Rattus norvegicus: one gene and its partner. The protein of the gene in region 1 interacts with the protein of each later gene in a biochemical or structural test. Links are inferred from orthologs where the notes say so. Each region holds a gene or a part of one and is shown on either strand. Other genes may lie near its edges. The genes, in order: Lmna and Emd.

The links.
Region 2: the proteins of Lmna (region 1) and Emd form a complex in vitro, tested with the Homo sapiens proteins (4 studies listed by BioGRID and IntAct, with this or other methods). The link is inferred for Rattus norvegicus from reciprocal best matches to the Homo sapiens genes LMNA and EMD.

What each region holds. Positions count from the first base shown.
Region 1 is NC_086020.1:176,237,034-176,241,505, forward strand, and holds the end of Lmna (prelamin-A/C), read right to left. Parts: coding exon 4,303-4,472; intron 4,215-4,302; coding exon 3,992-4,214; intron 3,492-3,991; coding exon 3,384-3,491; intron 3,286-3,383; coding exon 3,166-3,285; intron 2,788-3,165; coding exon 2,692-2,787; intron 1,985-2,691; coding exon 1,718-1,984; intron 1,469-1,717; coding exon 1,442-1,468; 3' UTR 531-1,441; downstream 1-530.
Region 2 is NC_086039.1:157,188,790-157,193,316, forward strand, and holds the start of Emd (emerin), read left to right. Parts: upstream 1-1,648; 5' UTR 1,649-1,755; coding exon 1,756-1,837; intron 1,838-1,929; exon of another isoform or gene 1,930-2,009; coding exon 2,010-2,117; intron 2,118-2,253; coding exon 2,254-2,331; intron 2,332-2,551; coding exon 2,552-2,688; intron 2,689-3,820; coding exon 3,821-3,867; intron 3,868-3,949; coding exon 3,950-4,280; 3' UTR 4,281-4,527. UniProt on the Homo sapiens protein: Stabilizes and promotes the formation of a nuclear actin cortical network. Stimulates actin polymerization in vitro by binding and stabilizing the pointed end of growing filaments. Inhibits beta-catenin activity by preventing its accumulation in the nucleus.

The DNA of each region.
Region 1 (4,472 bases):
CTCCTAACTTCCGAGTCATCTCTTCAGCTTTCAGTCACTTTTGACAGAACACTCAGCTATTCTGCCCAGGAAAGACGTATTTTGTTTTTGAAACAGGATCTTGTGACTACCAGACTAGCCTCAAACTCACCACACCCCCGCCTTTCCTTTCTTCCCTGAGAGTATCTCAGCCTACCGAAGCAATCGCAGCAACCAGAGCTGGGACTCCCGAGGCAGCCTTGGCATAGGGAGCTCTGCTAGTCCCCACCCCTACTCTGCTGTCCATCTGTCTGTGTTCCTGTGTCTGATGAACACGTGGCTTGCTGGCCCCATTCAGAAGGTGCTGGATCAGTGCTGGGTGGATGAGGGTTAGGAAGGCCATGCCCCTTTCACCCCACATGGTTGAACTTTATAGAAGACCCCTCCCCAGTACTCAATACATACCCTTCATAGCTGTGTAGCACCGAATATGTAGTGAATGTGTGGCACCTGTGTGTGCATGTGTCTGCCCCTGAAAATACACGTGACACCCAACAAAGAGACACCACAGCATCCGGGATGGAAACAACTAGTGTATTGATTTGGGGGGAGAGCAGAGGTGCAGATGGGAAGTGGGATGAAGGGTTCCTTAGTGTTTGCTGTAGCCACCAATCACCACACCCTCTAGTCTTCTCACTGGCCCCAGCAGGTTCTCCCAATCTCCAGGAGCCTTTCCCTCACTCTCTCCCCAATCCCACTTAATACTGCCCTCCACCGACAGGACAGAGCCCACCAGCAGGCTGTACGCACGGGGGAAAGGTAGGTTCAAACTGACCGTCCCTTCTCCTTCCCCATCTTTCCCATCTCTTGTCTGAATACAATATAGAAAAAAGCAAGCATGGCAGATTTGCCTCTGGGAATCCACTCGTCCCAGGCTCGGGAAGGCAGGAGGGTAAGGCAGGCAGAGGAGTCTCGGCCAAGTGTAGTGAGCCAGGAGGGGCTTGACCTTTCAGTCATTCTCTCTGCACCCCTTTTCTTTGCAGCTGGCATGGCAGTGGGCCAGCTGTGGAGGAGGCCGGTAAAGAGAACTCCATGCCTGCCTCTCAGGCACCGTGTCACAGGGTCCTGGGATGAGGGCAAAGCCAAGGCAGCAGGACAAAAATCTAGACTACAAAAGCAGTCCTTTCCCTGGGCTCCTATGAGAAGCCCTTTGGTTTAAGGCAGATACAGGGAAAAGGGAAGGACTAAGGATTGAGATAAAGACACTTTTTTTTTTGCTTGTGTTTTTCCTTCAGTATAAAACCACTGTAGAAAATAACTTCTCTTAGAAAAAAAATAGAAGGAAAAAAGAAAAACACCCAAAGGCAGGGGATAGTTTTCTTTGGCTTCAGACCTGCTCTCATAAGGAACAGGGCAGGAGGTGGCATGTGGTGAAGAGGGAGCAGGTGGCCTCTGCCCCCACCCCTGCCTGGCAGGTCCCAGATTACATGATGCTGCAGTTCTGGGAGCTCTAAGAGAGAAGAGAAGGCAGAGGTGTGAGCAGCAGTGCCTGGCCCTTCCTCTCCCTCCCTGACCCCAAAGGGGGTGTGTCTCCCAAACCCTCACACTCTGGGCCTCGCCCTGACCTCGAGTCTGGGGTTCAGACAGGAGGGGCAGGATGCAAGGGGGGCTGCAAGGAGGGGGACCCCACTCCCGTGGGCTGCCCTGCTGCTCGGTGAGCAGTGTCCTGCTGTAGGGCAGAAGCGAAGAGATGACTCACCTGGGTCCGGGGACTGGAGTTGCCCAGGAGGTAGGAGCGGGTGACTAGGTTGTCCCCGAAGCTGCCACCCCCACTGCCCCCCACACTGCGGAAGCTTCGAGTGACTGTGACACTGGAGGCAGAAGAGCCAGAGGAGATGGATCCGCCCACCTGGGCTCCTGAGCCACTGGCAGCCTTGTCAGCAGGCTGCCCACATGTCCCGCACAGCACGGTGCGTGAGCGCAGGTTGTACTCAGCGGGGTCCCCCGAGCTGCTGCAGTGGGAGCCCTGGGAAGGGAGACAAGGCTCAGGAGGGACAGCGAGTTTGGGACTGACTTCTTAGGACCAGCACCTAGGCTCTGGGCTCCTGTAGATTCCTGGCCATGGGGCAGGAAGGTGACCTCTGTCTGCACCCACATAGCCGGAGTGGTAGGGACATAGGAGGCCTGTGGCTGGGAGGAAGGGCATGATGGGGAAATGGCCAGGAAGCCTTCAAAATGAAGAGCTGTGGTTTTAACTCTCTCCTGAATCCTAGACACTTAAGGGGCAATCAATCAGGAGGGAGGCTGAAGATGGAGAAACTTAATTTGTGGAGGGACAGAAATGAGAGAAAACATTGCTGCAGGGGAATCTGAGGAGAAGCATGCAATAGGACAGAGAGGAGCAGAAAAGCGTGCATGCAAAGGGAGTGGGTGGGGAAGAGAGGCAGGGCTGGGGCCATCTCTGTCCTCCCATCCCTTCCCAGGAGACAAATCCAGATCCTGTCCACTGCCACCATGGAAGAGTCTGTGGCATCAGAAAGTCCCCACTCCCTTCCTTACCAGACACCTGGGCTCCCTGTTCAAGGTAGAGGGAGGAGAGAGAAGAAAGGCGAGGGCAGCAAGTGGCATTCCAAAACACTTTAATGAAAAGACTTTGGCATGGAGGCGGGAGAGCTGCCCTAGGCTGCCAGGGCTACCCTTGTGGGCTGGGCCTCAGCGGCGGCTGCCACTCACACGATGGTGATGGAGCAGCTCATCTCCATCCTCTTCCTCATCGTCATTGTCCTCAACCATGGTCAGTGAGCGCACCAGCTTGCGCATGGCCACTTCCTATGGGGACATAAGCCCAGACCCAAGAGTCAGGAGGTGAGGGCTGTACAGCTAGAACCATCCTGGGCCCTTATATAACCTTGCTCCAACCTCTGATGCTGGGGCTAAGGAATGCACGCACACACACACACACACACATACACACACACACGCACACAAATATACACGCACACAGGACACAGCTGACAACTCAGCGAGCGTTCTTTAAACTGGAGTCTGCTGTTAACACTCACTGGCTGACTTCCACCCATCATTCTACTGGGGAGACTTTTGGCTTGCTTACGGCTGGGTGGGAACTGGGCTCAGGGAGGTAGCTAGTCCCATTATGGCCACCAGGGGCAGCCTTGTCCAGCAAGCTACCAGCTGCGACATACTCACTTCTCCAGTGGCGTTGATGAGAGCCGTGCGAAGGCTGCTCCCACAGCCCCAAGTGTTCTGTGCCTTCCACACCAAGTCAGTAGGGGGGCTATGGGTGGCCCCAGCTCCTGAAGCCCAGATCTGGGGACAGATGGTTTAAGAGATGTGCTTATTCTTAATGCTCTTGTCCTGAGTCCAACTTCTCCACCCCAGAGTCCCACGCAGGCCCTTCCACTCACCGTCACCACCTGCCCGGCCTTTAGGGTGAACTTCGGTGGGAAGCGATAAGTCATCAAAGGATCATCACCATTCTGACGCCTGATCTGCCAGTTGCCCATGGACTGGTCCTGCAAGTAGGGTGGAGGGAAGAGGACAGGAAGCTCAACCTGGCTCTGGGCTAATCTCACTTATGTGCAGGCTAGGCGCCAGTGTACACCAGCAGTTCCAGCGACTATGGAGGCTGAGGTGGGGGAACAGCTTAATCCCAGGAGATCAAAGCCACCCTGGGCAAGACCCCATTGCAAAACAAACAAACAAAAACCAAAAAAAAAAAAAAAAAAAAAAAAAAGCAAAGCAAAGCAAAAGAGCAAAAAACAACAAAACAACAAAACAAAACAAAGCACAGAGAAGACTGGCCTGCTGGCCTGCCGCCCCTACCTCTGGCATCCCAACCTACTCTACTCACTCAAATGTCGTACTGTGCCACACACACCTATATTCCTCCATCTTCCCAACTTAGAGATGTAAAGACTACCACACACTCCAAATTCTCAGATAGGGCGACAGACGCTCCACCAGAACCAGGGGCTCCCAGCCATTGAAAACCAGACCCTGATCTCAGGCCCACCTCGTTGGACTTGTTGCGCAGCCGCACGAACTTGCCCTCTTCATCTACTTCCTCTACGGCCACACGGCCGCTAGTGCGAGCATGCTGCGAGAAGCTGCTCCGGCTCTCAGAAGACTCCAGCTTGCGCTTTTTGGTGACGCTGCCTCCACCCTGAGACTGGGAGGAGTGGGAGGAGGCGCGGCCACGGCTGCGCTGCGAGGTAGGGCTGGGGGACAGGCGTAGCCTGGGAAGGTGGAGACAAGACGCGGCGTTAGTCGTGGGAGTTGCAGGCCATAGGCCCCGACAGTGTCTCTAGACCCCTCCTAGTTCACCTCTCCTCCTCGCCCTCCAGCAGCTTTCGGTAGGCATGGATCTCCATGTCCAGGGCCAGCTTGATGTCCAGCAATTCCTGGTACTCATCCAGCTGCTGCTGCATCCTTGCCCGCATCTCAGCCATCTCCCGCTCTTTTTCAGCCAGCAGGCGCCGGCTGGTATCCCGCTC
Region 2 (4,527 bases), on another chromosome or scaffold:
TCAAAACTGGGCTCCACCTCCTCACCATTGCCTACTTTAAACTTCTATAGAGGACTGGCCAGTGACCTTCACTAAAGTGTCATCAAGGCCAGCCTAGAGCTGACCAGAGTATTCACTATCACTATCATTTAGAAAACCCATGGGTTGTAACCCCTCTAATAAACCTCTATCTCCAAAAATATTTACATTATGACTCATAAGAATAGCAAAAATTATCATTATAAAGTGGCAACAAAAATAATTTTATGATTGGGAGTCACTACAACATGAGTAACCGTTGTGGTCACAACAAGGGTCACAGCATTAGGAAGGTTGAGAATCACTGATTTAAGAGATCAGGCATCCCACACACCTTTTCTGCATGTACCCCCTCTTCTAGATGTCTCCAGTAAAGGGCAGCTTACACCTAGAGCCACATGACTTTTCGTAGAATATAATGGTCATGCTCACTCTTCAAGGCAACCTTTCTCTGATCCAGATCCTTAGTGAGCCTCCGTCAATTCCCATGGTTTACCTTTAGGCCAGCAGTTTGGAACCTCTGGGATACTATTCCTTTGGGTCTCACATATTAGATATCCTTCATATTAGATATTTATAATTTATAATAGCAAAATTACACTTATGAAGTACAACACAATAATTTTATGGTGGTGGTGGGGTCATCACAATATGAGGAACTGTATTAAAGGGTCGGCAGCATTAAGAAGGTTGAGAGATACTGCTCTAGGCTTTGCACACTGTCTAGGCCTCTAAGGTCACACCAAGCTTAGAGACTCTGCCAAAGAAGACTTCTCCCCTCAAAACTCCTCAGGGCCCAAGGTGGATGGAACAGTGAGTTAGGCAGGTACAAGGTGTACCCATCTACATGCATCACATAGCAGGCACCTTCTGATTGTGCCCATTGGCATGCCCTGGACCTTTGGAAAGCTGCTTGGTCCTACAGTGTTGGCGGCCTCTTGTCCCAGTGCTAGCCCCATTTCCTCCCGGATGGAACTAGGCGGCAGAGAGGACGGTGGGAATGGGCCTGTACAGGTGTGCAGGCCAGGGCCATGGAGCCTGTGAAGACCAGCGGAGATGGGTAGCGAGTGCCAGGGGTCTGTGGGTGGTTATGTAGGTGATGAGAGTCCTGTATGACAGCACTTGTGCACACAAAGAGCTCGCAACAGCGTCAGGCGCTGTGGAAAGGTTTGCTCTCAGGATTGGACTCTTCACATTGCTGTGGACCAGACTGTGGCTGAGAATCCTAGGCACTGGAAATCAGGATGAAGCCACAAAGGTGTGTAAGATTTCACAGCTTGGGAAATCACAAGCCAGTTTTGGTCCGCTGAGAACACTTGTCGCCCCTCTAGTACGTTGAGCTTTAGCACCCTCAGATAGCCTAGCTAGCCCCGCCCCTCAGCTGCCTAGCTCTCAAAGGAAGTCTCCGCTGCCCCAAAATCTCTCCCGCAAGCCCCTCCCTCTTCCTGTTCGAGTCAATCTCACACAAGTGTGACGTTTGTATTTGCCAGTCCAGCCTGCTAGACTGGTCTGTACTGGCCGCTCCGGCGGATTTGGGCCTGCCCTGAGGAGAGCGCGCAACCTGCGTAGCAGCGGCTGTGACGCAAACGTGACGGCGGCTTGACGCGCCCACAGCCGCTCTTGAGGCGCTGGCGCTTCCTCTGCTAGGCTCCGAGCTGTCTGTTTCTTGGGCCCTGTGTATAGGTGCCGGCCGCCCCTGGCGTTCAACACCGCTTCCAGGTGCCGGCCGTGTCTGCCATGGACGACTATGCGGTTTTGTCCGATACTGAGCTGGCCGCAGTGCTACGCCAGTACAACATCCCGCATGGGCCTATTGTGGGTATGCTGCAGCCGGTGGCGCTCAGAACCTCTCGGTCCCCCGCTTTCCCGCGCTCCTCCCTGAGCGTTCTTCCTACCTCCTCCTTCCCTCAGGTCCCCTCCCCGTGTTCCCTTGTGCTCTTGGGGTGCTCGGCTCGCACCCGCTGACCGCTTCGCACCCTGTGTCTGGGCAGGCTCCACTCGCAAGCTCTACGAAAAGAAAATCTTCGAGTACGAGACCCAGAGAAGGAGGCTTTCGCCCCCCAGCTCGTCATCGTCTTCATTCTCCTATCGGTTCTCAGGTGAGGCTCCAACTGCACAGCCCCAAAGAGCAGCTTGGGGCACAAGGCGCAGGGAGGGAGGGTGTGGCTGAAGCTACTGAGGGAGTAGGGGGAAGTCTGGAGATTGAAGGTCCTGTACCTTCTCCTCCACATGCAGACTTGGATTCAGCCTCCGTGGACTCAGACATGTATGATCTGCCCAAAAAGGAGGACGCCTTACTTTACCAGAGCAAGGGTAAGGCAGGTGTGGGATGGGCACTGATGTCTTTATCCCATGCTTCAGGGATTTGGGCACAGTGAAACTCCAGACCTCACCCCCTTGTACCAGTTCTCAGTGGCTTCAGAGAGAAGAAACTGGCACAGCACACACACAGACTGGGGGGGGGGGGCGGAAGGTGGCAAGAGGCCAGGTAAGGGGCACCACTTTTTCCTCTACCACTGTTTTCTTCCTCAAGACTATAATGATGACTACTATGAGGAGAGCTATTTGACTACCAGGACATACGGGGAGCCCGAGTCTGTGGGCATGTCCAAGAGCTTCCGCCGGCCAGGGACCTCACTTGTAGATGCTGATGATACCTTCCATCACCAGGTGAGTTGTCTGGTAGGCATACCTGGGGTGTATGTAGCCTTAGGGAATTCTAGGTTTGGATAGTTCAAGGAGATACTAGGTGCAGAGAGTGGATCTTAGGCCTTCAAGTATGGTTAGGATCAGCATACAGTTGTTGGCTCAAAAGTTCTACGTTGGAACCTCCAAAACTATTAGATTTGGGGATGAGCATATATAGCTCAGTAGAAGAGCATTTACCTATGGTTTCATCTCCAGCATCCAGCAGCACACACAAATGTTTTTGGGGTTTTGGCATTTTTAAAAATTTAATTACTTTAATTATACCTATGTGTAGCCAATTTTTTGTTAGTTTGTGGGTTCCCCTCACCCTTTCACCCCCAATCATTAGATAGAGAAAGAGAGCTAAAGATCCCTGAATCTAATTTCTTTCTTCCTTGTGTCTTCTTTGACCCCAGCTACTAGCAAACTGTAACCAACCTCACCTATTGGGGCTCTAGTATTTACATACCCTCTGAAAAATTCCCAGAATTCCAAATACCACAAAATTGCAGAAACTATCTGCAACTCAAAAGCATGAAGCAAATCATAGCTGCTGTAAAACAGCCCCATATCCCACATCTAGGGTTAAAATAAAAACATTCTTATAATATTTCTGTGTTTCTTAAGCCAAATTTCAAGAATTCTCACTACATGTATGTGTCTGTGGGTAGTATGCATGAGTGCTGGTGCCTACAGATGCCAGAATTGTCAGATTTCCCCTTAGATTCCCCTTAGAGCTAGAATGGCAAGTAGTTGTAAACTGCCTGATGTGAGTGCTGGAAAATGACCTTAGGTACCTAGGAAGAACAATAGGTGCTTTTAACCACTGAGGCATCTCTGCAGCCCACAAACTTTTATGATCTGAGCATATATAACAGCACCTGTACTCTAGGATGTAGGTTTAAGCCTCCTGAGAATCCTGGGGAATAAAAGGATGGTGGGACAAAGTTGACAAGGTTTGTAACTGGGTGGCAAGGCCCCACAGTTAAAGAGGGCATGGACCCAGAATGATGGGGGGGCAATTTTCTGCCCCCTACAATGTGACTAGAGTAGGCTAGCCAGAGACATTTGGGGAAACCATTCTTTCCCATTTCTAATCCTAATTATCCGGCAGGTGCGTGATGACATTTTCTCTTCTTCAGAAGAGGAAGGCAAGGATAGGTGAGTAGTGAACACATGTAGGGACAGGGACAAGTTTGACACTCAGACTCTCCTGCCTACCTGTCCCCTTCTTTTGCTACAGGGAACGCCCCATCTATGGCCGAGACAGTGCCTACCAGAGCATCGCACACTACCGCCCCATTTCCAATGTCTCCAGGAGCTCCCTGGGCTTATCATATTATCCTACATCCTCCACCTCTTCTGTGTCCTCCTCTTCATCTTCTCCCTCTTCATGGCTTACCCGACGTGCCATTCGACCAGAAAAGCAGGCCCCTACTGCTGCTCTGGGCCAGGATCGACAGGTCCCACTCTGGGGCCAGCTGTTACTCTTCCTGGCCTTTGCTGCCTTTCTGCTCTTTGTTTACTATTCCATACAAGCTGAAGAAGGCAACCCCTTCTGGATGGATCCCTAAGGGTATTGGTTTCAGAGCAGCTCTTAACAGGAGTTTTGGCTGACTGCCTTAGCAGTGTTTGCTGGGGGTGGGGGGTAGGGGCTTTTTTGTGTATTCTAGTTAGAGGGTACAGGGCCTAGCCTACGGCAGTGCTTGTCTCCACCTCATCTTGCCAAGGAAGCAGCAAATGCTGGCTTTCCACAGCCCAGTAGGCCCGTATGTACCTTCCTCTGGAGCCTCCTAGCCTTATTGCCTCTGACTCTTAGGG